Linked DNA regions of Oryctolagus cuniculus. The protein of the gene in region 2 interacts with the protein of the main gene of each other region in a pairwise test. Links are inferred from orthologs where the notes say so. Each region holds a gene or a part of one and is shown on either strand. Other genes may lie near its edges. The genes, in order: CEP70, BYSL, EMD, STX11, CCDC102B, DDX17 and COIL.

Region 1 (3,873 bases), on a different chromosome or scaffold from region 2:
GCCATTGGAGGGTGAACCAACGGCAAAGGAAGACCTTTCTCTCTGTCTCTCTCACTGTCCACTCTGCCTGTAAAAAAAAAAAATTATTTTTAATATATTTTATAATTTTATATAATTATAAATTTTATATAAATATAAAATGCATAAATATATGCAAATATAAGTATATATAAATATATAATATGTACTATATATTATAAATATATATAAATACAAAATGTGAATTTTATATAATTTATTAATTTATATAATTTATATAAATATACAATGTGAATTTTTATATGATTTATTAATATAAAGTAGTTTGTAGTTTTTCTGAGCAGGGCTTTGCTAAAGGATGCAGTTATAATTTCAGTGAACCAGATTTAAGATTTTTGTTTGCTTTAGGTTGCCATTAAGTCCTCCGTATCATTAGTCTGTACACTGCAGTAGTTTGTGCTTATTTGCATATTTCTAGTCAGTGGCTAAGCTTGTTACAAGTGGTAAATGTTCTAATCTTATGCATATAAACTCATTTAATAAAACCTTTTGGTGAACAACCTCTGTTACCTGGAAATACAGGAATTTATATATATTGGGGATTTCTTCACTCTAAGTTGATTCTTTTGTCTTTACTCAAAATTGTAGCAGGAAGAAGCAGAATGGGAGAACATAAATATGCTGTTGATGAAGCATGGCTTAAAACCATTGTGCCTGGTCAAGAGAAAAGATCTTAAAGGTACTTGGATCCTATTTCTGCTCCTTAAGGGGAAAAGGTTCTTTTTACTTTTGAAATTTCTTATCTTAAAAATGTCTTACCCACTTCTGTTTTTACTATCTGTTATGTTTCAAAATGTAGAGTTCATCATTTTTGACAAGCAGTCATCACAAAGGATGAGACAGAATTTGAAAACGTTGGTAGAAGAAACAGCACGTCAACAGAGCATGATACAGGAGCTTATAGAAACTAATCAGCAGCTTAAGTAAGAATGGAAAAATTCTTTTGACTTGTTGATATGCATTCTAAAAATAACTGTCTTGCAAAGAACCTTAAAATTTAGTTTTCGATTTTGAATATGAAGTTTAAAGCTATTTTTATAGGTAAATAGTTAACATTTTAATAGAAAAACCTGTGGTAATAGCTTGGCATAGATACGTAATGGAACGCTATATTTCTTTTTCTGTGAGAAGATAGAAATTTCAAGAATGCAGAAAGTTTTGGAAAGTGAATGTGTTAATATGTTATGTGGTTTGATTTACTTTTAAATACTAAAGGAGAGAATTGTGTGTATTAAATTAGAAATGAACTTCAGCTAGAACAGAGCCGCGCAGCACATCAGGAACAACGTGCCAATGACTTGGAACAAATTATGGAGAGTGTGAAATCCAAAGTTGGTGAATTGGAGGATGAATCCCTAAATAGGGTTTGCCAGCAGCAGAATAAAATAAAAGATCTTGAAAAGGAGCAGAAAACTTTACAGGTACCAAGTTACATATTTTCTTAGATGTTGGTTAGTACTAGAGCAAATCATCCTGATCCTTGGGTCGCTTGCTGAATTCAGTGGTACTTGTGATAGAAGGAAATCTTTGTGGTAACCAATTGGGAAAGATAAAAGTGCCCCTGGAACATAATCATTTCACAGCCTAAGGCACATTCTTCTAATTTTGATATACAGTTATTGCCAAATTTAGAACAGGTTAGTGCTGCCTGTTTGCCAGTTGGGAAATGAAACATTGATTATCTCAGTGGCAAAGAAGTCAAGGAAATTGATAAATATTTGGGGTATATTGAGACTGTTGGCGAAAATAATTTACATAACATGGGCTGTTATGTATATGCAGCCTTTTTTCATTTAGCCTCATTATTTTGAGATTCATTCGTTTGGCTCTGTGTCAACTGCTTAGTCCTTTTTGCTCAGAAGTATTTCATCCTATGGATCTACTATAGTTCATCTACCTGTTGATGAATATTTGAGTTGTTCTCAGTTGATGGTTATCACAAATAGAGCTCTTGTAAACAGCTATTGTTCAAGTATTTGGGTAGACATGAGCTTTCATTTCTCTTGGGTGGATAGGTAGAACTGGAACCACTTAATCATATGTTAATTTTAAAAATTCAGGTGTTTTTTTTTTTTTTTTTTTTTTTTTTTTTTTTTTCAGATTTTTGTTTTCTGAGGGACAGAGTCAGAAATATACAGATTTTCTATCTGCTGGTTTATCTCCCCACATGCCTTCAATAGCCAGGGCTGGGCCACGCCAAAGCCAGGAGCCTGGAATTCAACACAAGTCTCCCTCATGGGTGGCAGGGATCCAGCTACCAGAACCGTCACCAGTGCCTCCTAGAGTATGTGTCCGTAGGAAGCTAGAATCAGGATCAGGGACTCAAATGCAGGCATCCCAAGAGGCATCTTAGCCGCTGCCACAAATGCCCACCCTGTATGTTATTTTATTAAAGACATTGCCAAAGCTTTCCAAAGTGGCTGTACCATTTAGCGTTACTTCCTGAGTACGAGAGTTCTAGTTAATTTTTTTTTTAATTTGGTATGGGACACCTTCATTTTGATGAGTGTTTTCACTAGGTATAGAGTTTTAAGTTGGTAGTTACTTTGAGCATTTGAAATGATCAGATTCCATTGTTTCTACTGAGAATTCTGTTGTCAATTAGTTAACTCTTTGAAGGCAATCTGCTTTCTCTCTGGCTGCTTTTAGTATTTTCTCCTTGTTTTTATTTTGAAGTAGTTTTACTTTGTGCATAGGTGATTTTTGTTTTGACTTATCTTCCTTGGACTTTGTAGCACTTCTCGAATTGGTGGCTTGATGTCTTTCATCAGTTTGGCAAATTCTTAACCATTATGTCTTGATGTTATTTCTGCCCATTCTTCTCAGGACTCCAATTCTGTTGGCATTTATCATATATTCTCCTATGTCTTTCATGGTTTTCTTTGTTGATCTTTTATCTTGCTTATTTGTTATGGATATTTTCATAATTATTATATTTTTTAGTTTTAGAATTTCTGTTCTTTCACTGAATTTTCTGTTTTTCTGTTTTGTGTAAGTAAACATTGAATCTATTTTAAAATATATGTATTATATATAAAATATATATCTGATACAGAAATAGAGATGGTGGTTGCAAGCATCGTGAATGTACTAGACTCCATTGAATTGTTCCCTGCAAAATGGTTAATTTTACTTTATGTGAACTCACTTCCATTTAAATAATTCTGTCTGATAATTTGATTATCTGGTTCTCCTTGGATCCATTTTTATAGTCTATTGTTTCTTTAGGTTTCTATTCTGGTGTGCCTGGTTATTTTTTATTAAGTGCTGAACTCTGTATGGGCACAATTGTTTTTATTTTTGATAGGTAGAGTGGACAGAGAGAGAGACAGAGAGAGAAAGGTCTTCCTTTGCCGTTGGTTCACCCTCCAATGGCCGCCGCTGCAGCCGGCGCACCGCGCTGATCCGATGGCAGGAGCCAGGATCCAGGTGCTTTTTCCTGGTCTCCCATGGGGTGCAGGGCCCAAGCACCTGGGCCATCCTCCACTGCACTCCCTGGCCATAGCAGAGGGCTGGCCTGGAAGAGGGGCAACCGGGACAGAATCCGGCGCCCCGACCGGGACTAGAACCCGGTGTGCCGGCGCCGCAAGGTGGAGGATTAGCCTATTGAGCCACGGCGCCGGCTCTGTATGGGCACAATTGTAACCATGAGGCCTAGACCCTAAAGATAACCATATGTGCTTGTGGTAGACATCCAGGTACAGGAGTAACCTGGGGTCATCTTGATCTGGTGTCAGATGAAGATTTGAAGCTGAGCTTCAGTCTCAAAGATAGCTGATCAATTTCTAGTTCACTTTCACTCTTAGGGTGTAGTGGGAGGTTTCCCAGGGTCTT
Region 2 (4,578 bases):
GAAGAGAAGTACTAAGACAAAACACAGAGTAGAGAAGTCAGAAGTACAGAGGGGTCCAGCACTGTGGTGGGTGAGGCCACTGCCTGCAGTGCCGGCATCCATATGGGTGCCGGTTCGAGTCCCAGCTGCTCCACTTCTGATCCAGCTCTCTGCTGTGGCCTGGGAAAGCAATACAAGATTAGAAGATGGCCCAGGCCCTTGGGCCCCTGTACCAGTGTGGGAGACCAGGAGGAAGCTGCCGGCTCCTGGCTTTGGATCTGCTAAGTTCTGGCTGTTGTGACCACCCAGGGAGTGAACCAGCAAATGGGACCTCTCTCTGCCTCTCTGTGACTCTGCCTTTCAAATAGATAAACTGCAAGCCTGCAGGCAATGGAGTAGACTAATCCAGGAGAAGGAACAGCCAGGCACAGGCTCCAACTGCCCATGTTTAGAAGGAACAATGAGATTTGTATGGTGGAGTAGAGGACAAAGGGAAAGAAGCCGGCGGTCAGACGGTAATAGAGGTAGATCACACAGGGCACTGTGCACTATTAGAACCCTGTAGCTGTAGGGGCAACAGGATCGTGGTTAGGAGGGTACCACAATAACCCGAGCGCAGAACATGGCGGCTTGGACATGATGGCGTTTCTAAGGTGGCGGAGGTGGTCATCAGAACTTCCTAATGAATAAGACATGGAGACAGGAGGGGGAAAAGAAAGGGAGGGGGAGGGAGACCAAGGACAGGGGAGGACCAGGTGTGGGAGTCAGAGTTTGTTTTGGACATGGTAAGTTTGAGATGTCTTTTACATGTCAAATGAGAGATGCCCAATAGCAGCTGAATATAAGAATTTGGGCTTCAGGGGCTGGTGTTGTGGTGTAGCAGGTGAAGGAAGCTGCTGCCTATGACACCAGCATCCCATATGAAGCCAGTTCAAGTCCCAGCTGCTCTACTTCTGACCCAGTTCCCTGCTAATTGCCTGGGGAAAGCAGCAGAAGATGGCCCAAGTGCTTGGGCCCCGGCACCCACAGGGGAGACCGGGATGAAGCCTTGCTGGTTGCCGCCATCTGGGGAATGAACCAGTGGATACAAGATTTCAAATAAATAGATAAAAAAATTTTGAGTTTCTTGGAAGAGATCAGGGCTGGAATAAAAAGTAGGTAACACTCACTAAATAGATGGTAGTTAAATCATGAAACTTGAACAGGAAGTTTCAAATGCCTGCAAAAGCCAAGGAGACCCAGATGGAGCTCCGGATTTGGCCCGGCCCAGCTCAGTCATTGTGACCATTTGGGGAGTGAACTAGTGGATAAAAGATCTCTGTGTCTCTTCCTTTCAAGTAAATAAATAAATCTTAAAAAAAGAAAAAAAAGAAAGAAACAGCTTAGGAAACCCACATCCCATAACTGAATGCCAGGGTTCGAGTCCTGGTTCCACTGCAGATTCAGGCTTCCCACTAATATAGACCCTGAGAGACAACAGGAGGGAGCTCAAGTCATTGTGTCCCTGCAACCCACCCGGAAGAACTACACTGAGTTCCAGGTTTGGTCTGGCCCAGCCCTGGCCGTAGCAGGCAGCAGGCGTTTGGGAAGTAGATTAGGGGAAGCAAGTTTTCTCTCTCTGCCTTTCAGATAAAGATACTGTAGCCAGAAGAGCAGGGTTCAATTGCGTCAAATACTGCTTTTCTACAAATAAGATAAGCTCTGAGAAGTCGGTTAAACAACTCAGAGGTCAAGGCTTCTCCCCTATGAGAAAACAGTCAACATTTTTCAATCATCTCTCCCTCCACTTGGCCCCTAAACAATACTGCTTTTTCTGTTATGAACATTCGGTTTCAGGTCTCAGCTTCCAGGCTGGGCAACTCTGACCCCTACACGAATGCTATCGTTTCCAGAGAAACGAGACTTTCTTTCCCATGGAATTTACTGTTCTAATTGTCTCTCTCTTGGTTTAGACTGTAAGGTCCCGAGCTATATCTTGTTTATTTCTGCACGCAATCCATCAAAACTCCCAGCATCGTGCAAAGCCGGTAGCGAGCATCCCATATTTACAAAACCGTTGGACAAATGCTAGGAGAACTTGGTGGCCTGAGCCATCACTTCCTATTGGCCTAACTTGCGGGACGCGGCGAAAGGAGCACTAAAAACAGGGAGCGGGCCTGCAGGGTTCGGTCTTCCACCTGCCCTGCTCTCGGTAGAGAGCAACGTGCAACCCGGTTTTGAATCCAAGGTACTCCCCTGCCGGACACCTGTGGGCCGTCCACCCCCCAACCCAACTACTGCCTTCCCCGCGGACGCTCACCCAGCCGCGTGGCGCGCTCCCGAGGCTTGGCGGGCCCGTCCCCAGAGCCGTGCTCGGTTTCCAGCTCCTCCTGTTGCTGCCGTGCTTGCTGCAAAATCCGCCGGCTCAGCCGGGGCCCCACATACTCTTCCTCCTCTTCCCCGGTTCCGCGGCCCCGCCGCTTTTCCCGGGCACTTGACCGCACCGCGTTCCCAGCCAGGATCTGCTCGGCCAGGGGCGCGTGTTTTTCCTGAGCCCCAGCCCCACGGGCCGCTTTGAATTTCGGCATTTTTCTCGATAATGCGGCCCGGCAAACTCACACGTGGGTACGGCGACAGCCCAGGATGTGCGCTCGGCAATGAACGCCCAGGTCTGTGCCGAGAGGCCACGCGCTCACAGCGCCCCTACGCGTTCGGAGGCCAGAAAAGCAGCCAGCACCACTGCACTCCCGCAGGGAACTCCCGAGTCCTGGAGCCGGAGCCCGGAACAAATGCATTGCCTTTGACGTTGACGTCTCTAAATGGTGGCAGCCCGGGCCACGCTTTCCTAGCTTTCTGGATCTAGGACCAGGGTGGCCAACCAAACGGAAACTTCCGGAACTGCAAGCCAGGGGAGGGGCTGGGAATCGGGCCGATGACCTCACTGGAGGCGTCACCCAGAGTCGCTGCTGGTGCGTCTAACCGGCGCTCTGTTTTTACGTACTTCCGGAGCCCCTCCCGCGACCCGAGCCTGCGGTAGTTTTTAGTTCTTGTGGGCTTCGGGAGAGCGCTGTTTCGGCTGTGTGGTCGTGCCGCTTTCCAGGCCTGACGCTATGGGAGTGACCTGGTAGGATCACAAAGGGTTTTATGGGGCGGGACTTGGGTCGTGAAGGTCCCTTGAAACCTGGAGGGTCGGGGACTGAAGTCCGCCGTTCTCCGGGAGCTGAGCAAAATGCCCTCGGGCTGCGTGGATGTGGGCACTCTAAGGGCCGTGAGTCTCGGGCCCTAATGGGCCCCATTGCTCCTGGAAGGAAGCAAGGAAAAGGTTTTATCTCAGGAACCTTATGCATGGGTTGTGTACCCTCTTCTCTTTTTCTTGGTACGTCTTGCTACCCTTGAAATCCTAGTAGTGCAGAAAGTGGGACTTCGAGGTCGGAAACAGGGCTTTTCAGACTAGAACCCACCCGCAGGTAGGGTTAAAGCTGATAGGAGATAGGCAACGAGGCGGTGTTTGTGTGTTCGCCTCCCCCTACCTGTAGCCACCCAATAATCAGCCTGTATCTGGTTCTCATTCGGGTCTACAGGATCAAAATGGAAACTACTGGGAATTAGAAGATCAGGTTTCCAGACACTTTACTTCCTCATGACCTGCCTCCTACTACGTTTATACGGTTGATTCAGTTTCAGTGCACTTAAAAAAAAAAAAGATTTATTTATTTGAAAGGCAGAGTTAAAGAAAGGCAGGGGCAGAGAGAGAGCTTCCATCTGCTGGTTCTCTCCCCAAATGGCTGCAATAGCCGGAGCTGGGCCGATCAGGAGCCTGTAGCTTCTTCCAGGTCTCCCATGGGGGTGCAGGGGCCCAAGCACCTGGGCCATCTTCTACTGCTTTCCCAGGCCATGACAGAGAGCTGGATCGGAAGTGGAGCAGCCGGCTCTCAAATCGGCACCCACATGGGATGCCAGCTCTACAAGCAGCTGCTTTACCCTCCACGCCACAGCACTGGCCCCCAATGGACTTTTAAATCTCTGAACATGTTCTCAAACCCAGATGGAAGAGGATGGGGTGGAGGGGAAGGGTATGAACCCAGGGATCTTGGAGACCTTAGTTCCAAGGTGCTGGGTCTCTGCACCTTTTTTCTTCTTCTTCTTTTTTTTTTTTTTTTTAAGTCTTGGTTGTGAGCATCTCATCAGAGAGGCCTGGAGGCCAGGATATCTGAAGCCAGGAGTTATAGGCTTCTCTTTTTTTTCTCTTTTTTGAAAGATTTGAGAGGTAGAGTTACAGACAGTGAGAGGGAGAGACAGAAAGGTCTTCCATCTGCTCGTTCACTCCCCAGATGGCCCCAATGGCTGGAGCTGCGCCAATCCGAAGCGCTTGGGCCATCTTCTGTTGCTTTCCCAGGCCATAGCAGAGAGCTGGATTGGAAGAGGAGGAGCCAAGACTCGAACCGGCACCCATATGGGATACCGGCACCACAAATGGAGGATTAACCTACTGCACCACAGCACTGGCCCCCTAGGCTTCTCTTTTAAAAATAGTTGGGGGTAGAGGGAACACAATTTCTCCCAGTAGCCAGGGGTTTCTGGGGCTTGCACTCTTGTTTCCCCTACCACAACCCTCCCAAG
Region 3 (4,634 bases), on a different chromosome or scaffold from region 2:
ATTCCTATGCCAAGACCAAAGCAAAACCACAGAATCAATAAAGCCAGGTGACAATCCTTAAAAAACCTTAAGACCCAGAGACCCCAAAGCATGGCAGCCAGCCTCTCCCCCAGCAGGAAGAGCCAACACATTAAAAATAAACGGTCTTTATTGCGTCCACGAAAACAAAGTCGAGGTGGCCCTTGGTTAACCTCAAAAAGGTGACAACGAACAGGAGGCATGCATGAGCACATGACAACATCTCTGAAGGAGTGAAGTCTTGCCCTCCCAGGCCCTAAGGGTCAGAGGCAAGCAGGGCCAGGAGGCTCCAGAGGAAGGCACGCCCAGGCCTACCAGAACGTGAAGGGCCCGAGTCTGCTGCCTCCCTGGTGGGAGCAGGCAGGGGGAGCAAGCACTGCTCAGGGCTAGGCCCAGCCCCCAAAGCTAGAACACACAGAAAAGCCCCCACCCCCACCCCCAGCACACACTGCACTAAGGCAGACAGCCAGGACTTCAAAGAGCTGGCTCTGAAATCAAGACCCTCAGGGATCCATCCAGAAGGGGTTGCCTTCCTCTGCCTGCAAGGAATAGTAAACAAAGAGCAGGAAGGCAGCAAAGACCAGGAAAAGCAGCAGCTGGCCCCAGAGTGGGACCTGGCGGTCCTGACCCAGACCAGCTGCAGGGGCCTGCTTTTCTGGTCGGATGGCACGGCGGGCGAGCCATGATGGAGAAGGCGAAGAGGCCACAGAAGAGGAGGATGCAGGGTAATAGGACAGGCCCAAGGAACTCCTGGAGACGTTGGAAACAGGGCGGTAGTGTGCGATGCTCTGGTAGGCACTGTCACGGCCATATGTGGAGCGTTCCCTAATGCAAAAGAGGGGAGCAGGTGAGCCAGGAGAGCTAGGCCCAGAATCACTGCTCCCAGGGCCTTCCCACTACTCACCTGTCCTTGTCCTCCTCTTCAGAAGAGAAAAGATGGTCACTGCGCACCTGCAGACCAGAATCGAGGTGACGGGACTGGCCAGCAGGGTCAGCACAGCCTGTCGTATTACTCAGCCCACTCTAACCATTGCTTAAAGGCCAGACAGGGCAGGCATTGTGGCGTGGCAGGTTTGGTTGCCAGTTAGGGTGCCCATATCCCATACGGAGTGCCAGTTCAAGTTTTGGCTGGTTTGCTTCTGGTCCCCTGCTACCCCTGTGGAAAACCTAGATGGAGTTCTGGGCTCCTGGCTTTGCCATGGCCCCCATCCTGGGCATTTAGGACATTAACCAGGGGATGGAAGACCTCACTTTCTCTTTTTGTCTTCCTGTTGCTCTGGTTTCAAGCAGATGAAAATAAACATTTTTTTTTTTAAGATTCTACTTATTTATTTGAAAGGCAGAGTTAGAGAGGGAGAGATCTTCCACCTGTTGGTTAACTCCCCAAATGGCCACAATGGCCAGGGCTGAGCCAGGCTGAAGCCAGGAGCCTGGAATTCCATCCAGGTCTCCCATGGGAGTGGCAGGAGCCCAAGTACTCACACCATCCCCCACTGCTTTCCCAGGCACAGTAGCAGGGAGCTGGATCAGAAGTGGAGCAGCCAGGACTCCAACCTGGATGCACATGGGATGCTGGCACTGCAGGCGGTAGCTTAACCTGCTGTGCCACAGCACTGACCCCAGAACCCTCTTTTCTCCCCCTGGATTCTGAGTTGGAACTTCAGATCCTGACCAGGGTGCAGGCCACATCCTGTGTGCTCTAGTCAAATACTCTTGACACGCCCCGTAGCAAAGTCCTAACTCATCCTAACTCTCTCTGGAAACCTAGGAGCTAGCATTTGTACCCAGTGATGCTGGGATTTACCCAAACCCAGCTGTCATCCCTTCAAGCTGCCCCCGGATATGAGGTGCCCGACGGCAGCTCACCTGGTGGTGGGAGGTGTCAGCATCAGAAAGCGAAGTCCCGGGTTGCCGGAAGCCTTTGGATGTGCCCACAGACTCGGGCTCCCCGTAAGTCCTGGTGCTCAAGTAACTCTCCTCGTAGTAGTCATCATTATAGCCTTGAAAAAGGGAGCACTGGTAGCAGAGGGCAGACCCGTGTTCCCCAGCTGCTCCAGGGACCCTTATTTAAACAGCGTTTTTGGGGCCCCTCTCAGGTCGCTGAGGCTGGTGGGGAGTCGAGGCCTCAGGTTTTCCCTACGCCCACGGTCCGGGACAGGGTGGGTGAAGGTGTTGGGGTGATGGTGTTAAGGGTGTCAATTCCTTGCCTTACCCTTGCTCTGGTAAAGTAAGGCGTCCTCTTTCTTGGGCAGGTCGTACTTATCCGAGTCCACAGATGCCGAATCCAAGTCTGAATTGAGGGGGGGGACGAGACCATTTTCCCCCAGGCTTCCCTCCCTTCTTCGCAGTGCCTCTCTCGGCTAGCAACCCACCCCCCACGCCACACCCTCGAAATCCCACCCTCCCTGTCACCACCGGCAGCCAGCTGCTCACCCGAGAACCGATAGGAGAACGAGGAAGCAGACGAGTTGGGTGGGGAGAGCCTCCGCCTCTGGGTCTCGTACTCGAAGATTTTCTTTTCGTAGAGCTTGCGAGTGGAGCCTGACCAGACAGCGGGCGCGGGGCGGTCAGGGTCGTGGGCTGCGAGCCCAGGGAGGGAATCTGGGTAGGGGACGCAGGCGGGGGGTACCGGGGGGCTGCGAGACGGCGCGCGGGAGAGCGAGTCCCGGGAGGCGTCCCGCCCGCTCCCGCGTACCCACGACTGGCCCGTGCGGAATGTTGTACTGGCGCAGCACGGCGGCCAGCTCGGTGTCCGACAGGACCGCGTAGTCGTCCATCGCGGGCGCGGCCGGCAGGTGGCGAAGGGCTGGGGGCAGCCCGGGCCTGGCGACACAGGCCAAGCAACACCACTGCCTCGCAGGGCTCGGGAGCGGCCGCGCTTGCGTCACGTCTGCGTCACGCTCCCGTCATGGCCGCGGGCTCCGCAGGCTGCGCGCGCTGCGCGGGGCGGAGCCAAACCACAAGGAGGAGCCGGCACGGACCGGTCTAGCTGTGGGAGCGGGCGGGGCGGGCCTGGCGAGCTCGTATTTCAAAAACGTGCGAGATTGGTTTGTGGCGGAAGAGGGGCGGGGCCTGTGTGGGAGCCAAAGTGGCTCAGACTACTCAGGCCGTGGGAGTGGGCGGGGCTGCACGCTCGAGAAAAGGGGCTGGACGGGCACGCCAAGACGTCACACGCAGGCGCTTCTGAGCTAGACTCGCGGGAGGGGCGGAGCCTATGCGACCCGAACCGGTAGAAACCGGCCAGAACGTGGGAGCTAGGGAGCCGGCGGCGTGGGTGTCTTTGCGGTGGTTCGGGCCGGTTGACTCTTGCCACATCCCTGCGCCTGCACTCGTCGTCCCCCTTTTCCCGGGATCCCAGGCCGAGGGTTCTCCCGCAGCAGCGGGAAGGAGCCACCCTTTGCACAGCGCCGCTCTCGGGCCAGCCACTGCTGTCTACGCTTTGGGTGCGCTACGCGGACCCCCTGGCCCAGGCCGGCCTCGCTGACCTGCACCGGCCCTCGCCTGCGCACCTGCGCCCATCGGTTCCCATCGCCTCCCTCCCTCCTTCCCTTGCTCCTCCCGCCCTCCACCCGGGAGGAAATGGGGCACTGGGCCAGGAGGACGCGGGCACTCCTGGAGCAAACAGCCTTCGAAGGGGCCCGGCGGGCCGTTCCAGCGGGCACGGGCAGAGCGCGCTTCGGAGAGGGAGTGTGCCCTCCCAGCCCACCCTACTGTCAACCCGGGGTACTGGGTGGAAGGGAAGGGGGCTCCAGTCGGAATGGCCCTGAGCCCAGTGACCAGGAGGGGGCCGGGCAGGGGCAGAGGAGCCTGGTGAGCCGTGAGAGACTGCCAAGGCTTGCTCAGGTTCCTGTACTGTGGCTGGGTTGGCAAGGGTCTTAATCAGAAGAGGGCTGTCCCCTTGGGGAGTCGAAAGGAAGTGACAGAAGTGGGTGCATGAAGAGATGAGGTGCCGTCCTGGCCTCACAGATGTTAGCTGGTGACAAGAAAGTGCGAGGGCTCTGATCAGCTCCAGGCTGAAGGGCCCAAACTGGTGATGGTCACAGGCCAGTTCTCTGAGGAAGATTGCTCACACAGAATGGGGACAGACAGACCAGGGAAGAATGTGGAAGAGACGAGGCCCTTTGACCGTAGACAAAAACCCTAAGGAAGAGGGGTTTCCGTTTGCCAGATTCTAGAATAAAGACCTGGCCCAGTCTGTTCCTAGCAATGTGGGAGAAGTTGTGTGCATTCCCAAAGACAGTGTGCATGGCAGGAAAAGGCAGGAGAGATGACAGTTTGAACTATTTGCAGCTATGAAGCTGCCTCCTGGAGTTTTTAGTTTTGGCCAAGGCCCGCTTGCCCAGCACCTCTCCAAGCCTTCTTCTGCAGTGCTGGCCCCTCTCCCGGAGGCCTGTGTGTACAGAGTGCTTGCTCAGTTCCCCCCCTTCCGCCACCACCCCTCCCCATTGGGATCCCAGCTCTTTCCTTATGAGGTCAAGGAATTCTAGGTTTGCCTTCTCCCTAAGTAACACCCCCCCTCCCCAGGGCACCTGCCTTATTGCCCCACTCGGAGGCCTCGCCACAAGTAGCACCAGGAAGCTGAACGTGGTGGTCCCCTGTACCCACCCCATGTGTAC
Region 4 (4,407 bases), about 100 Mb from region 2:
GACTGCTTCATGGGTTTGTGTAAGTATCCTTTGATTTTTGCACAAACAGCACATCAACTATTAAGGCAATTCTCAGAAATGTGCCATCTTTAAATGATGTTTGTTAATTTCTTGCTCAAACCATTCAAGCTTTGGCCTTTGGTTGCTTCTCTTTTTTTTTTTACATTCTCCCATCTTTGTGGGAGTTTGGTTTGTTTGTGTCTCTCTTTCTTTCCCTCCCTTCCTCCGTCCCTCCCTTCCTTCCTTTCTTCCTTTCCCCTCCCTCCCTCCCTCCCTTCCTTTCTTCCTTCCTTCCTTCCATTTATTTGAGAGGGGGAGGAAGAGAGAGAGAGAGAGAGCACGCGAGCGAGCGCACTAGCTTCCATCTGCTGGTTCACTCTCCAAATGGCTGCACTGGCCAGAGCTGGGCCGGTCTGAAGTCAGGAGCCCAGAGCTTCACCTGGGTCTCCCACGTAGGTGCAGGAACTCAAGGACTTGTGCCATCTTCAGCTGCTTTCCCAGGTGCCTTAGCAGGGAGCTGGATAGGAAGTGGAGCAGCTGGAGCACCAACCAGTATCCATATGGGATGCCGGTGCTGCAGGCAGCTAACCCGCTGTGCCACAGCGCTGGCCCTTATTTATTGTGTGTGTGTGTGTGTGTGTTTAATGAACACTATTCTTACCTTTAAGTCTCAGCCTCGGTCTTCAAGGCTCTTCCCACCGCCTTCCACAATACATACGCACTGTATCTGCTTCCCTATTCCCACAAAGACGTCAGAGGCTTGGCAATATTTTGGCCATGGTCGTGTCTCTGGCTCCTCAGTGAATGAATGAACTCAAACTGGCGTTGGCAAAGGTTTGAAGGGTGCCGGTCGGCGTGGGTTCTGGAAAGCCAGTGCCCAGCCATCGTGTGACCTGCAGCCTCGTCTCAGCCGTCCTCTGGCGGCCACACCCACGCTCAGAATTCGCTTCAAGCGTCCTCGCCACGGAAACGCACCCTGCTGCAAATGTCACCAGAGCCGCGGGGTTTCCCCGGGAAAGTCCGGCGCTTCCCGCAGGGGCCCAGAGGAAGGCGGGGGACAGATGATGGCTTCGGGTGGCCAATTACCCCGACCTCACGGGAGCGCCCGGCGGCGCACCGCAGGCGCGCGCGAGCCCCAGGTTCCGGGCAGCCCGGAGCGCACCGGCAGCGGGCGGGGCGGGAACCTGCGCGCGGGCAGCTGGTGGACGCGGCGCCTCCGCGCTGTCGTCCCGGGGCGGGGCCTCGATCCCAGCCGTGGGCTCTTGCGAAGTGTCGGGGGCCGAGCCGGCGGCGCCCAGATGCGGCCTCGGCGGCTCGGAGTTCGGGAGGCGGCGGCTGAGCCCAGCCTCTGGCGCGGGAGGAGCGGAGGCTGTGGGAGGCGGCGAGAGCTGAGCCGCGGAGAGGCGCGCAACAGGTTTTCTCTGCGTCCTGGCGCCCAGCGCGAAGCCGGCGCTCGGGTAAGAGAGCGGCTTCTCAGCTCGCACGGTCGCCCCGGGTCCAGGTTCGTTCCTTCCTGCCTGGGTCTCCTTTTCTGTCCCGAACGCGGGGAGCTGGGAGTGTGGGCCCAAGGAGGGCGGGAGGGGACGCTCACTTGCCCGGCGACAGGATGCTGGGCCCAGGTTTTCGGGTTTGGCCCTGGTCCACCCCTCGCTTCCTGGCCCTTAGGGACGCCACACTGGGTTTCTCGTACGGAGCGCAATGGCTTGTTGTTGGTTCTTATTTATTTCGTTTTTCCAAGGCGAGGGACTGAGGATTTAGTGGGCATTGTTCTCAGAGACACCTGTTGTCTGCCTTCTGCAAGGATCCACCCACCCCACTTTTGTGAAAGTGGGGGCATTACTTCGGCCTGATAAAACGGCTCACTTCCTAGTGGGGTGCACTTTCTCAAAAACAGAATGAGGACCTCTTGACTTGAACTTGACAGCGTGACTCAGGAGCCAGGAAATGCGGACCAAATGATAGCGCTGAGGCGGTTCCTGGCAAGCGCTCGCGACTTTCTCAGAGCACGCAGGCAGAGGCTGCCCCGGAGTGAATTCGCTGGCTGGCGGCGCCCAGAGGACCCTCACCAGGAGCCGCGCTTCTCCCCGCGCTGCGCAGGCCGGCCCGTGCAGAAGCCGTTTCTCAGCAAAGGGAGGAGTTGTTATTTCTACACGGGTCTCCAAAAATGAGTCACAGGGCTGCTCTGTTAATTGTGAGACTTCCTTAAGTAACTTTTGAAACGTGAGGTTTGCTCCGTCTGTCTTTAAAATAACAATACAGATGTGAAATGTATGCACAGCCAAACTGGGGCAGGCGGTTGTCCCAAGTGACAATTCCAGTTTTCAGTTTCCTAGAGCTCCCGTCTGGGCCACACATCAGCCAGGGTCATTTGGGCTGCTCTAAGATAGCCATGGAGATCGCGTGCTTTACCGTAGACGCCCAAGAAAAGGATTTTTTATTTTTTAATTTCAGAGGAAGAGGAAGGGAGTGGGGAGAAAGAGAGGGAGAGAGGGGAGAGAGAGAGGGAAGGGGGGGGGAGAGAGAGAGAGAGCGTGAGAGTGAGAGAGCGCACTTCCATCTGCTGGTTCACTCCCCAGACACCCACAATGGTTTGGGCTGGGTCAAAGCCAGAGGAACTCAATCCAGGACTCCCACGGTGGTGGCAGGAACACAATTACTTTAATCTGCCAGCTGCTTTGGCAGAAACGCAGGAGTCAGGAGCAGGAGCTGGGAATCGAACCCAGGCACTGGAATGTGGTACACAGGTGTCTTAATCTTCTAGGCTAAATGCCCACTGCCACAAGAAAGTGAATTTCATTATTCAATAACTGTCTTTCTACTTTCACTTTATGGCACAAATGCTCGTTTAACAAAATATCATTTAACAAAATGATTATAAATCCCTCTCTGAGATGAAAGTATTTCAGACAGTTAGTTTGCCTTTCCTGAAGCAGTGCTAAAACCACACACAAAATGCCATGCCAGTTGGAGGTGAGAAATTAGAAAGGTTAAGCTGACAGGTCCCACTGCAACTGAGCAGCAGATGTAGGAAGTGGCTGTGCACTAATCCAGCACACAGGAGAGAAGAGAAACAGCTAGCCCCAACCAGAGAGTTACCAAGCACCTTCTCTGTGCTAGCTCCTCCCTGAGCTCTGGTTATACAGCCGTGGAAGGACAGGATCCTTAGAGATGCATGGAAGGCCAACAAATACAGTGGAAAATCCAATATAATGAGGTGAGCGCCATGATCTATCTATGCCCAGCACAGTCTCTGTCCCAACCTGAGTGTTATTTCCTCAGATCTGTGATTTGGAATAGACTGGGTCATTGCTGGGGGAACAAAGAGGGTTTTAAGTTTAGCCATCTAATTGTAGAGAGCTTATTCTTCATTTCATAACAGATTTAATATATATTAATTAGAGAGGCATGATTTCAAGTTGTTTGAATTAACCATATTTCCTATTACTATTATTAAGATTATTTATTTGAGAGACAGAGTTACAGACAGAGAGAGACAGAGAGAAAGGTCTTCCACCTGCTGGTTCACTTCACAAATGGCCGCAACAGCTGCAGCTGGGCCGATCCAAAGCCAAGAGCCAGGAGCTTCCTCCAGATCTGCCATATGGGCGTGGGGGCCCAAGCACTTGGGCCATCTTCCACTGCTTTCCCAGGCCTTTTTTTTTTTTTTTTTTTTGACAGGCAGAGTGGACAGTGAGAGAGAGAGACAGAGAGAAAGGTCTTCCTTTTGCCGTCGGTTCGCCCTCCAATCGCCGCCGCGGCCGGCGCACCGCGCTGATCCAAAGGCAGGAGCCAGGTGCTTATCCTGGTCTCCCATGTGGGTGCAGGGCCCAAGCACTTGGGCCATCCTCCACTGCACTCCTGGGCCACAGCAGAGAGCTGGCCTTCCAGGCCATAATCATAGAACTGGATCAGAAGAGGAGCAGCCAGAATGTGAACCGGCACCCACAAGGGATGCCAGTGCTGCAGGTGAAGGCTTAGCCCACTATGTCACAGAACTGGCCTCCGTATTTCCTGTTATTTAATAACCAGGTAAAAATAAGCCCAGATTATTATCACCACTGGATGATCACAGACACTTTTAGTTATATATCTTTTGAAAACAGAGTGAATAATTAATGAACTATAACTGCTTTTTTTTTTTTTTTTTTTTTTTTTTTTTTTTTTTTTGACAGGCAGAGTGGACAGTGAGAGAGAGAGACAGAGAGAAAGGTCTTCCTTTGCTGTTGGTTCACCCTTCAGTGGCCGCCGCAGCCGGCGCGCTGCGGCCGGCGCACCGCGCTGATCCGATGGCAGGAGCCAGGAGCCAGGTGCTTTTCCTGGTCTCCCATGGGGTGCAGGGCCCAAGCACCTGGGCCATCCTCCACTGCACTCCCGGGCCACAGCAGAGAGCTGGCCTGGAAGAGGGGC
Region 5 (3,873 bases), on a different chromosome or scaffold from region 2:
CCGGCGCCGGGCCCAGGAGGACCTTCTCACCCGACTGCCCACGGTCTCCCGGGTCCGGCGCTGTCCTCTCAGCAGGCGCTCCCCCACACGCTCACACGTTTGGGAAGCGACTTCAGGTTCATCTCCGTGTTCCCGGGACGCCAGAGGAGCGAGGGGAGCGGGGGCGGCCGGGGGCTGCTTCTGAGGGGCCGCGCCCTGTCTCTTCCGCAGCTCGCTCAGCTCCTTCACCGTCAGCTCCAGTCTCATTCTGAGCTGCCGTCCTTCCTCCCTGGCGCTGTTCCGCTCCGCGCGAACCTTGCTCCATTTCTCTCTCCAGGTGGCCGTGCAGTCTGACCACCAGCGCATGGTCTTCTCCATCTGGGCAGCCCTGGCCTTGACTTCCTCCAGCTCCCGCAGGCGCAGTTCCGCGCACACGTCCCACTCGTTGGGGTGCAGTGGATGCGCGCAGAAACGGTGGGGGGCCTGAGGCTGCAGCCCCTGGAGAGGCGGGCAGGGCGTCCACGTGTCCCTGGGGGGCGAGGCAGGGGCTGACGGGTCACAGCGGGATTGAATCGATGACTGCTGCATCCGAAAGATTTGTGTTTCCTCAATTAGTCGATGAATAGACTCTAAATTCATGTTTATGTTTAAGGCCTAGGATAAAACAGAGGACAAAATTACACGTTTGAATTTTCCTTACAATTGTAAGAGCATTGAAATACATTAAAATAAAAAAAAATCTGATGTAAACAATGCATCTTTCAATTGTGCATATTTTTTTTTCTGTTGTAACTAAAGATTTAGAAGAATCTATTCCTCTAATAGCAAATTAACAAAAAAAATCAATCTCTCATATTAAATTTTGCTGAACAAATAACTATATAAAGATGCAATTGAGAAAATATCAAATTCTATTCGAGTTATATCTTTTGTAACATTTCTTCTTACAAAACAAAATTATAGCATTTATTACCAGTTAACTGTACAACAGTCCCATTTTCCTCTGCAACTAATCTCAGATTTGTTCAGGTAGAATGCAAACTCTAAGGGCATCTAGGAGAATCCCATTCCCAGAGGCTAAATCATGAATAATCTACACTTTGCTTGATGGACTCCATGTCAACAACTATATGATAATCTCAAAACAAATGCATGATCTGGATCAGGCTAAAGAAAGGCAAGGTTTACTTGGGAGAACATTAGAATGAAAAACCCTCTTTCCTCAATTTCTTTTTCCTGCCTAAACAAGGACATGGCTCTGGGAGAAGGTGATTGTCATAACTATTTAATAATATTTAAAATGGTAGAAAAGGGGCCAGCACTGCAGTGTATCATGTAAGCCCCTGCCTGCAGTGCCAGCCTCCCCTAGGGGTGCCGGCTCAAGTCCTGGCTTCGGATCCAGCTCCTTGCTAATGCACACTGGAAAAGCAGCAAAAGATGGCCCAAGTGCTTGGGCTCCTGCACCCATGTGGGAGACCCTGAAGAAGCTCCTGGCTCCTGGCCTTGGCTCTGCCCAGCTCAGGCCATTGTGGCCATTTGGGAAGTGAACCAGTGATTGGAGACTCGCTCTCTCTAACGCTGATTCTAATTTATTTATCTTATAAATAAATCTTAAGTTGGAACATCAAGATGAAAGCAGTCATAACAAGCTAGCTCTCGCGTGGTGTCTATGCCATGTGGAAGCATGTGAAAGGGGTTATCCATATTTATTAGAGCCACAATGGTTAGGTTTTCCGTTACTTATAGTCAAAGCCACATCTGATTCTCAAATTAATTTCCTACATGGTTAAAATCTTATGAACTGCAAAAATAAGTTGTTATAAATGAGGCATGATCCTTGTCCTCAAAAACTTTAGTAGATAAAGCATACACAAGTTTAAAAATCCATAGTTTACACTATAAAAGGTATATTTACTGAATCTCTTTATGTATTTAAAGTCATTCTCAGATTCTTAGGGTATCTTAGGGTATGTTGGGGTGATCTAAGGAGTACTGCTAAAGGTGAAATGGGCCATCTAGAAACGCGGCACCTTCACCATAGAGATAACACTGAGCAGTCTTAGCTTTTTCAAAGCCTTGTAGAGAAATTAAAATCAGCTTTCATTATAAATACCAAAGCACAAATATATGAATGCATATCATTATCAATTTGCATGCCTGTTATTTTATTCAATAGAGCACTACAACTATATTGAGACCATAACAAGCATAACTTTTAAAGTAACTCCTTAAAAGACACGGGTTAATTTACAAATTAGTAAATTCCTGTGGTTTACTCATTTTTATTTCCAGAAACAGTTTTCTAATCTAAAAAAAAGCTTAGATAATATTTTATGCACATGCCATAAATTCCTCTCACTTTATTTTCTTTTTTGTAATTACAGATCATAACTTCCTCCTTAGGACCTATCTACTTATACAACTAACTGAATGGTTCTACTGTATCAACTACGTATATAATAATAAGCCTGATTTATTGGAATAAAAGACTATACAATGTTTTTAAAACTATGATTCATGAGCACATAATTAAAAGACTTCAGAAAGTTAATATTAAATTTTTATTTTGAAAAAACATTTTAAACAAATTTGAGATGTAAAATCAATTCACTATTGTAACACTTATAATAACAGACTCGTGATGTGATTATATTCGTTAGCCTTGGTACATGAGTAATTTTGTTCTTCCATTTACTGTAATTTGGAGGACAATGATAATATAAATTACCAACTTTGTTTTATTACTAAGGCAAGACTGATATATAAAAGAATAAAAGGTGATCTTAACTAGAAATAACAAACACACATACTATCTATCCATCCATCTGTCAGTCTGTTCACTATTCAGTATGTAATGATTTTTTACTGTTGGAATTCCAAAATGAATACAGAGAACTTAATACAGCATATTAAATTTAAATTTATCCTTGCTACTTTCCAAAAATAAATCAGTATCATAAAATTGTAATGTATTTAAAATGTCTCATTAACTTTTATTCCACCAGTATTCAGAAGACTCTATAATTGGATTCTGGTACATTGAGATCTTGCCTAAGAATTAACTATGTATTTTTTCCACATCTGACTAAATAAAAATGATTTGGGTTTAATTATTCAGTCCTTGAACTTCAATAGTATTTCCTGTTCTAAAGAGTTTCCTCAAGCAAGCACAATTTTCTTGAGATGGGGATATTTAAGATGCATATGTGTTTATTAAACTACTCACTTTCCTATACATCTGTGTGTACTCTTTGAATTTTATTTCAGGTGACTATAAATGCATTTTCCAGTGGTTGTAGCACAAAGCCTTTGATGTCTACAAAAATATATTAATACTCTTGACTCTGGTTTTTGCACTGCTTTTTACATTATAAAAATATTAATAGCAATCAGGCTGCTATGATGGCAAATTTTTTTAATATAGTAGATAGCCAAACAAATAAAATGTAATGAATCAAGAATAGATAAATGACATAACTAAATGTCTCTTCCCTGACAGGAATCTGATGCCTAAGATGGTGAGCCTTAGGTTTATATTCTGATTTTAGATAGTCACAGACAAATTATAATATCCTTATTTGTAAGGAGACATTTCTGACTAGAGAATGGAAAAGTGCCTACTAATTGGTTAGTCCAGGCTCTCACAGGTAAGGCAAAAGTTTTCCTTAGTGCCAGGAGTCATGAATGCATCATCTCAGAATATATTACTATTTTGTAATTTTCGGTTTCTTTTCTGCCTTTTGAAAGAGAAACAGGGTACTTAAAAGTAAGAAAAATGTAAAGAAAAATAAGACTTATAAAAGTACTCAAAATTTCAGGTAATAAAGAAAATTATCAATTTCAATAAAATTTTTTTTAAGATTTATTTTATTTGAAAGGCAGAGTTACAGAGAG
Region 6 (3,873 bases), on a different chromosome or scaffold from region 2:
TTCCATTTGTCTTTGCAATTCTGAGCCTAGGTCAAAACTTTAACCTATTATTCATGTTTACCACTCAACAGTTAAGCTTATGCAATGAAGAACACTCACGTGGGAAGTTGGCATGATGGAAGGCAAACACAGGTTTAGGACAAACATCTCCCCCTCTCACTGTGATCTCTTTCTTCCGGCGTAGCTCATCAACCTCATACTATGGAAGTAAATGAAGACAAATTAGTAAACAAGTTATTCCAAATACTTAAAACTTACATTCCTGTCAGCTGGAAAATCAACACCCAATCCACAGTCACAGTGGCAAATATACGCAATATCTTTATAAAAATTATTTGAGAAAAAAGAAAAAAAATAAAAATTATTTGAAGGGCAGAGTTCTATATATCAACATAGACACACAGAGAGTGAGAGCAAGAGCAAGAGAGATCTATCTTCCATGCACTGGTTCACTCCCCAAAAGGCCACAACAGCCAAGCCAAAAACAGAGGAGCTTCGGCCAGGTCTCCCACGTGGTTGCAATGGCCCAAGCACGTGGACCATCTTATGCTTTCCCAGGCGCACTAGCAGAGAACTGGATCAGCTGGGCTTGATCCACCACTCAATTGCAGGCCCTGTATTCACTACTGGTTTTATATATATTCAACTTTGTGAGTTAATTAACAATGTAGGTGATTAAGGGTTCTATTTCCACAGGAGAAAACAAACTCAAGAGAGTCAGTCATGGCGCTGGAGCTGTAGCGTAGTGGGTCACGTCTCCGCCTGCGGCCCTAGCATCCCATATGGGTGCTGGTTCCAGTCCGGGCTGCTCCTCTTCTGATCCAGCTCTCTGCTGTGCCTAGTGAAGTAGCAGAGGTTGGCCCCAAATGCTTGGGCCCCTGCCTGCACTCACGTGGGAGACCTGCAAGACACTCCTGGCTCCAGACGGGCTCAGCTCCAATTGTTGCAGCCATTTGGGGAATGAACCAGAGGATGGAAGGTCTTTCTCTCTGTCTCTCCATCTCACTGTCTATAACTCTACCTCTCAAATAAATAAATAAAATCTTTAAAAAAAAAAGTTATTCACCCACCCAAGGTCAGAACTAGGAAGAGAGGAAAAAATATAACAAGGAAGTTCAGGCCCAAGTTTTCAATACACTTTCTTCTGAACAAGTAACCATTTTATGGATAGAATGGAAAGCAATCATAATGAGGTTAAAAAGACTATACAATGTTGTTTTAAAATTATTACACTTCATAGATGAAAAGACATCGCCCAATCTACAAGACCGTTAAAACCATGTATGGTAAATAGGTCAGAGAGCACTCAGCACGAGAAACCCGCCCACGGGGTGTCTGCCTCTCAGGAGCATCAGAGGGCTTCCGAAGAGCCCAAGGGACTTCTCACCCCCCAGAGAAAACCTCAGGGCAACAGCAGTACACAACCAAACTCTTGCTCATACTGCACATAAAAAGATAAAAACAAACAAACGTACTGGAGTCAGCCTTGCTACTTCTGGATGTTCCACATAAAAATTCTTCTCAAACTTGGGAAGCTCACTCAAATCCCATTTCTTCTTACGTAAACGCTCCCCAGGATTACCAAATTTCTTCAGGGGAAGGCCACCACCACCTCTTGCTCCAAACCTAGAATCAGCATTTTAAATCAATTAATATTATTGTACCTTACATGGCGCACACACACACAAAGGTGGACTCCCAGTATACACCAGCAGTCTCCCAGACTGTTTTATTACTCTTCAGTGCTTAAAATAGAATCTGACAATAAATACAGTACAGGTTAGCAACAAGCGGTACTGGGTACCAACTGTACACCAAACACTGTTTTAAGTAGTGCTAAAGACACTGTGAATGAAACAGACTTAAGTCTCTACTCCCGCGTAACAGACATGCAGGGAAATACCGAGCTTAAATCAACAGCCAGGCTGTGGACAGCGGGAAAATGCCAATGTAGGTGGAGCCCACACTCGGAGCAGCTTCTTGGATCTCTCCCCTGTGACGAGCCCCGCTACTGTCTGCTCACCTGGGCAGGAAGACCACTGGGACCTGTGACGGACTGCTGGGCTGGTCTTCACCTCGTTTACGCTACTCAAAGACCCACAACTAAGATGTATGACCTTTTCTTCCTCCTCTTTCCACCTTTTACTTTTGCTCTCAAATAGAACTCATATGAAGAAAAAGCTATTAGTAAGTTACTTAAGGTTTTAAAAGCAAACAGATTATTAAAATCCATTTCTTGGAGTGGGCCTTCAAGACAGAGTGCCTGGGCTCAATCCCAGCCCCACTCCTGATCCAGCTTCCTGCTAGCATGCGCCCTGCGAGGCAGCAGGTGATATCTAAAGTACTTGGGTCTCCACTACCCAAAGTGGGTAGAATTCCAGGTTCCTGGCTTTGGCCTGGCCCAGCCCTGGGTGTTGCAGGCACATAGGAATATATCAATAGATACAAGACCTCTTCCTTTCAAAAAAAAAAAAAAAATTAAAAATGCTTTAAAATGAATTTGTGGTTAAAAATTGACTCATTTTTGTGCAAGGCAGAGTTAGAGAGGGGAAGAGACAAGACAAACTTCCCTCTCCTACTCCACTCCACAGATGCTACAAGGGCTAGGACTGCAACTCCACCCAGACTGTTCACTTGGCTGGCAGGGGCCCATGCAGGCATCAGCAGGGAGGACGACTGGAAGCAAGAGTAGCCAGGACTCCAACCAGCACTCACGTAATTCCAGATTCCAGCATGGTGGTGGCGTCTTAACCCATCACACAGTACTGGCCCCTTTTGTGTTTTGTAGCAGGTAAGCTCAACTGGAATACAAATATGGCCACCCACCGAAAATGAAATAGAAAATACAAGCTACTTTCCCTAGAAAAATCCTAACAGTAAGATGGCCTTCATTTCCCCTATTTCAACCTACGCAAAGTTTGGGGCTGTGTTTGGCACACAAATTGTATAAAGTGTTTCTTCATCCCATTTCCTCACTCCTTGTCAATCACCTCACTGAACTGAATTTCCCTTTCCCACCCTAACTCACCTGCACAAAGTTCCACTTTGCAGCGGACAGGCAGTAGCTGCACTCCTCTAAGGGCCCTCAGCTCTCTACAACTGAAAGCATCAGAACCCTCGGCTCAGACAGCAGGCAGGGCTGGTCCCAAGACAGTGAGTGGTGTTTCAAGAGTCAGAACAGTCAGCCAGACGTTTCTCTACACGTGAGTGCCCCGGGTTCACTGCATAGTCACACCCACAGGCAGGAACTGGGCTAATGCCGCTGACTGAACTGCTTATCCAGAAGAGACTAGGAATGCAAAGAAAACTGAAAGCACAGGGAGACACCTATCAGTGACATTTTGAATACGCACTCAGGTGTAAGGCTCAATGTTACACAGACCAAAGGCCACCTGGAGTGGCTCTGTCGCCCACACCTGTAAAGCAGCAAACACTGTAAAGTGCTCAAGAAACAGTCTGCAGAGACCGCCAGCCTGCTCTCACACGGATCTCGGGTGTGACTCCACTGCTGTTACCACATACGTTTTCTTTGAAGGCTTATTTGAAGCTTATCATTGTTATTTTAAAAAATTGTTTCTTGGGGCCAGCACTGGGACACAGCATGCAGGTAAAGCCACTGCCTGCAATGCAAGCATTCCACATAGGGACCACTTCAGATCCCAGCTGCTCCACTTCTGATCCAGCCCCCTGCTAAAAATGGCCTGGGAAAAGCAGGGGAAGGTAGCCCAAGGGCTTGGGCCCCTGCACCCACGTAGGAGACCCATAATAAACTCCTGGCTTCAGCCTGGTGCAGCCCTGGCCATTGTGACCAACTGAGGAGTGAACCAGCAGATGGAAGATGTCTTTGCCTCTCGCTGTGTAACTCATATGGCC
Region 7 (4,406 bases), on a different chromosome or scaffold from region 2:
AAAAAAGAAAATTTATTTAGCTCACAGTTTTGAATGTTCAAGGAAGGACACAGCACTAGCATTTAGCATTTGCTGCACCTCACGAGGGCCTGGTGAGCACCAGCGTTAGCTGGACTCTGGCAGCAGGCACCACAGCAGGAGACTGCACAAGTGGAAAAGATCACACGGAGAGAAAGGAAACCAGAGCGGTCGGGGTCACACTCACTCTTTTATGACGCTCACTCTCAGGAGAATTAACTTAGGGTCCCAAGAGAATTCTCTTCATCCTTTTGAGGGCAGTACCGTCGGTGACCTACCAGCTACCACAGGTCCCATGTTTTAAAGATCTCAACCTTCCAATACTGCCACACTTGGGACTACGCTTTCAATATGCTGATTTGGGGGTACACACAACCACATCCAACCACAGCAGAGACTACGTTTTCTTTGGTAGCTATGAACAAAAGGTCAATCGGTCAAGGGAAGGCTGGATGATTGGAGGCAAGAAACAATCCAATATTTTTCAGGATTTTCCCAAGCTTTACCCATTTACCACTGAAGCCAGCTGCAAAAGGCATGTCTTGCCATGAGCTGACACACTCAGGGGAAATTTACGTGTAACAGTTTTCATGAGGTTTCTGACACTGCTAACTTCATTATAAAGAATATTATTTCCCAGATGACTCATCAACTGCAGTACAGCCATGGGTAGCTGGCAGCAAGTTATTAATCATTGGGCAGAGGAGAGTTTAGAAAGTACACCCTCTAGGAGGGGACAGTCCTTACAACTGTAATATTTAAATACTCCCTAAATTGCAGAGGGAATAAAGACCCATTTCACAGACAATAAATAGGATAAAGAACTCTGAATTTTAGGCTTTTTCAAGCTGTCATTTGAAACAGTGGAACATCATTAAATCACAGCATTCTTGATCTGAGAGAGAGCCAAAGAGGCGGTCATGTTCCAAACTGAATTCCCTAGTGTTCGGAAGAAATCCTGTGACTACGACGTGCTCTAGGTAGGAAAAGGAATAGTCAACGATATTCTGGGGAAGGGGCAAGCCAAAAGAAGTGGGCGGGTTCACCACTCTGGAGTTAATTCACCATAAGCTGAAGCTTACAGGGGAAGAGGGAGTGTGTATCCCGTCTAGTGCTTGAGAGCCCACATCCCACCCTGCAGTGCCTGGGCTCTAGTCCCAGCCCCCTCCTTATTTCAGCCTCCTGCTAATTCCTGCAGATTGTGGGAGGCAGTGTGATAGCTCAGGTGACTGAATGGGCCCCTGCCACTCATGTAGGTGACCTAAATCGTACTCCAACCCACAGCTTCTGCCCTGCCCTAGGCCTGGCTGTTGTGGACATTTAGGGAATGAAACAGTGGATGGGAGGCCGGCGCCGCGGCTCACTAGGCTAATCCTCCATCTTGGCGCTGGCACCACTGGGTTCTAGTCCCGGTCGGGGCGCCGGATTCTGTCCTGGTTGCCCCTCTTCCAGGCCAGCTCTCTGCTGTGGCCCGGGAGGGCAGTGGAGGATGGCCCAAGTGCTTGGGCCCTGCACCCCATGGGAGACCAGGAGAAGCACCTGGCTCCTGCCATCAGATCAGCGCGGTGCGCCGGCCGCACGCACCGGCCGCGGCAGCCATTGGAGGGTGAACCAACGGCAAAGGAAGACCTTTCTCCCTGTCTCTCTCTCTCACTGTCCACTCTGCCTGTCAAAAAGAAAAAGAAAAAAAAAAGAAAAAGAAATAGTGGATGGTGAGCTTGCTCGCTCCCTCTCTGGCTCTCAAATAAATAATTTTCATAAGAAAAGAGAAACAGGAGTGGGTGTTTGGCACAGCAGTTAAGATGCTGGTTGGGATGCCCACATCCCACATCAGACTACCTGGGTTCCAGTCCCAGCCCCATTCTCGTTCCAGCTTCTTACAGTGTTTACCCTGGGAAGCAGCAGGTGATGGCTCAAGTTGTTGGACTCCTGCCACACACATGGGAGACCTGGATTGCATTTCTGGGTCCCGGCATTGGCTTGGCCAAGCCCTGGCTATTGTGGCTGTCTGGGGAGTGAACCAGTAGATGGGAGATCTGTCTTTCAAGTAAATAAAATAAATAAGTTTAAAGAGGAAAAAAAATAATAAGCCCTGAAACAATCAGTCCAAGACACGCATCTGAGCTGGAATGACCGCATCTCCACACCTCGCCAGCAGCTCCTACTGCTCTGGGACAGTCATCTCAGCGCCATCTTCTCTACATTTCCAAAAGCACACCTGGAATGACTCTGCCTTTCTCAAATCCACCTACTTGAACCCAAAAGGACCCAAACACCTATCTATGTGAGTGGACCCCAAAACGCCTGGGCGAGACACCGAATGCCCCCGGGGCTATCACAGAGCTAACGCCGGACAAGGCACACGGTTGAAGAAAACACGCCAGCTCCGGTCTGCCTGGCGTCCTGCCCCGAACCCTGCCCCTGCCCCTGCCCGCGGCCGAGGGAAGGCCGGTCCCTGGCACCGTGCGCACGACCACGGCGCCAGGCTGAGCGAGGGCTTGGACAGCAAGGCTGCGCGAACTCCCGGCCGGCCGGCAGGCGCACAGCAGGGTTGTCCCGCGTCCCGTCCACCTGCGCTGGGGAGCATCCCAGGCTTGCAGGGCGCTCGTCAAAACGCAGGCTCCTGAGCCCCTCCTCGACCACACCGCTCCGGCCCTCGGGGCCCGCGCCCCGCCAAGCCCACGCCCCCGCCCCCCGCCGCCGACCCGTGCGGCCCCGCGGCCGGAGGCGCCCGGGCAGCGCAGGCGCGTCCCCGGCCCGCCGCCCACGCGCACCTGAGGCAGTCGTTGTCCCGCACCAGGCGCGCGCTCTCGGCTGGGGGCAGGAGCCCCCCCTCCAAGTAGAGGCCCAGGAGGGCCCCCGAACTGAAGCCGAAGCGCTGGCGGATGAGACTGATGAGATCCGTGACGACTCGGCATCGGTTCAAGTCGACCAGAAGCCAGAAGGCTGTACAGTGTGGAGTGGCTGGCGGTGGATAATCAAATTGAAGCCGTAACCTAACCGTGTCGGAAGCTGCCATCTTGCCGTCCTCAACGGAAGCCGAGAGACACCACAAAGCTCCCGTGCTCAGGCGGCCCCCGCCCCCTGGAGCCGCTGCCGAGTGCCACCTTTCGGCAGCAAGTGGCTACTGCAGGAGCGCGGTTGATAAAGAGTTTTGTTCAGGACAGGGCTAGGGAAGAGTACAAAAGAAATAAATGCTTTTATTCCTTTCTTATCAGATAAATGGAGGGCCCGAATCTAGGCAAGTCGCTGGATGAACAAGCACTTGGCACCAGTGGCGGTCTAAAGTACGTCAAAGATTCTTTAAAAAAAGATGGCAAAAAAAAAAAAAAGGTGGCAACTCCCAATACTAGTTGACCCAATCTTTCATCCCAAGGAGTTGAGAAAGATGTCATTTCTAGCGTGTCGTCGACATTGACATCTCTCTTCTAAATGTATCCAGTGAAAAAAGTACTCTAGCTGTTTGATGTCCACCACCATCCATATTTTAAAATGCAAAAATAAGTCCTTTTATTTACCTGTAGGTAGGTAAGTGCAAAATTTTACATTATTCCTTTAATATCCATTTTTCCTACAAAATATATACATGTTAACCCTTTAATTGTCATGTCAAAGGTATGAACTATTATCGTCATTCAGAATACATAACAAACCAAGGTTCAGAGAGGATAAGTAACTTCCCCAAAGTAGTAGGTGAGTAGGTGCAGGTTTCGGACACTCAGAAGATGCACTGAAAAAAAAACAGTTTTTCAAGTTTTTTTCCTAAAGCTCTATGTCTTTTGTATTAAATTATGCTATTATTACTGATACATAATTGATCTAAATAGCTTCAAACATTACATGTAATTATGCATCACTATTATGTAGGAAAAGAACAATGAAAGTATCAAAGGCAAAGCTGTGAGGGATTTTCCGTTAGTCCAAGTATGTAAGGATGAATATCACTAAACAGGGCTCCATATTAATTGTGGGTCTGTTTTTATAGATGTAACATCCTCAGGAAACTTGCTCATGTAAATAAAATCAGAATGGAAAGACTGAGGTTCTGACAATGTCAGTTCCTTACAGTTTACGTAATGAAATCACATATTTATTTTTAAAAAATGTTTTCAGTACACCAGCAACCAAAAAATCAGTTTTTTGTTCAATATTGTCAAAAAGCAAAGAGTTAACAGTATATTTCACTTTGTGTTTCTATGTGGGTGCAAACTGTTGAAATCTTTACTTAATGTATACTAAACTGATCTTCTGTATTATAAGATTGAAATTGAAAATGAATCTTGATATGAATGGAAGGGGAGAGAGAGCGGGAAAGGGGAGGGTTGCGGGTGGGAGGGAAGTCATGGGGGGGGGGGAGCCAATGTAGTCCATAAGCTGTACTTTGGAAA

The links.
Region 1: the proteins of BYSL (region 2) and CEP70 interact in binary tests that used the Homo sapiens proteins (3 or more experiments, as listed by UniProt). The link is inferred for Oryctolagus cuniculus from reciprocal best matches to the Homo sapiens genes BYSL and CEP70.
Region 3: the proteins of BYSL (region 2) and EMD interact in binary tests that used the Homo sapiens proteins (3 or more experiments, as listed by UniProt). The two-hybrid records come from large-scale screens. The link is inferred for Oryctolagus cuniculus from reciprocal best matches to the Homo sapiens genes BYSL and EMD.
Region 4: the proteins of BYSL (region 2) and STX11 interact in binary tests that used the Homo sapiens proteins (3 or more experiments, as listed by UniProt). The two-hybrid records come from large-scale screens. The link is inferred for Oryctolagus cuniculus from reciprocal best matches to the Homo sapiens genes BYSL and STX11.
Region 5: the proteins of BYSL (region 2) and CCDC102B interact in binary tests that used the Homo sapiens proteins (3 or more experiments, as listed by UniProt). The two-hybrid records come from large-scale screens. The link is inferred for Oryctolagus cuniculus from reciprocal best matches to the Homo sapiens genes BYSL and CCDC102B.
Region 6: the proteins of BYSL (region 2) and DDX17 interact in binary tests that used the Homo sapiens proteins (3 or more experiments, as listed by UniProt). The two-hybrid records come from large-scale screens. The link is inferred for Oryctolagus cuniculus from reciprocal best matches to the Homo sapiens genes BYSL and DDX17.
Region 7: the proteins of BYSL (region 2) and COIL interact in binary tests that used the Homo sapiens proteins (3 or more experiments, as listed by UniProt). The link is inferred for Oryctolagus cuniculus from reciprocal best matches to the Homo sapiens genes BYSL and COIL.

The regions. Positions count from the first base shown.
Region 1 is NC_091435.1:143,208,074-143,211,946, forward strand, and holds part of CEP70 (centrosomal protein of 70 kDa), read left to right. Parts: intron 1-627; coding exon 628-718; intron 719-838; coding exon 839-962; intron 963-1,279; coding exon 1,280-1,460; intron 1,461-2,139; exon of another isoform or gene 2,140-2,206; coding exon of another isoform or gene 2,207-2,323; intron 2,324-3,873.
Region 2 is NC_091436.1:127,986,930-127,991,507, forward strand, and holds the start of BYSL (bystin), read right to left. Parts: upstream 2,885-4,578; 5' UTR 2,547-2,884; coding exon 2,279-2,546; intron 1-2,278. Other genes in the region: MED20 (mediator of RNA polymerase II transcription subunit 20), read left to right, coding at 3,069-3,082. UniProt on the Homo sapiens protein: Required for processing of 20S pre-rRNA precursor and biogenesis of 40S ribosomal subunits. May be required for trophinin-dependent regulation of cell adhesion during implantation of human embryos.
Region 3 is NC_091453.1:132,603,665-132,608,298, reverse strand, and holds EMD (emerin), read right to left. Parts: upstream 2,796-4,634; coding exon 2,714-2,795; intron 2,560-2,713; coding exon 2,452-2,559; intron 2,309-2,451; coding exon 2,231-2,308; intron 2,019-2,230; coding exon 1,885-2,018; intron 970-1,884; coding exon 923-969; intron 844-922; coding exon 522-843; downstream 1-521. UniProt on the Homo sapiens protein: Stabilizes and promotes the formation of a nuclear actin cortical network. Stimulates actin polymerization in vitro by binding and stabilizing the pointed end of growing filaments. Inhibits beta-catenin activity by preventing its accumulation in the nucleus.
Region 4 is NC_091436.1:24,387,739-24,392,145, reverse strand, and holds the start of STX11 (syntaxin-11), read left to right. Parts: upstream 1-1,317; 5' UTR 1,318-1,457; exon of another isoform or gene 1,458-1,501; intron 1,502-4,407. UniProt on the Homo sapiens protein: SNARE that acts to regulate protein transport between late endosomes and the trans-Golgi network.
Region 5 is NC_091441.1:9,987,549-9,991,421, forward strand, and holds part of CCDC102B (coiled-coil domain-containing protein 102B), read right to left. Parts: intron 634-3,873; coding exon 31-633; intron 1-30. UniProt on the Homo sapiens protein: During interphase, forms fibers at the proximal ends of centrioles to maintain centrosome cohesion. During mitosis, dissociates from the centrosome following phosphorylation to allow centrosome separation. Contributes to CROCC/rootletin filament formation.
Region 6 is NC_091442.1:115,141,160-115,145,032, forward strand, and holds part of DDX17 (probable ATP-dependent RNA helicase DDX17), read right to left. Parts: intron 1,627-3,873; coding exon 1,476-1,626; intron 200-1,475; coding exon 100-199; intron 1-99. UniProt on the Homo sapiens protein: As an RNA helicase, unwinds RNA and alters RNA structures through ATP binding and hydrolysis.
Region 7 is NC_091448.1:32,546,633-32,551,038, forward strand, and holds the start of COIL (coilin), read right to left. Parts: upstream 3,108-4,406; 5' UTR 3,038-3,107; coding exon 2,793-3,037; intron 1-2,792. UniProt on the Homo sapiens protein: Component of nuclear coiled bodies, also known as Cajal bodies or CBs, which are involved in the modification and assembly of nucleoplasmic snRNPs.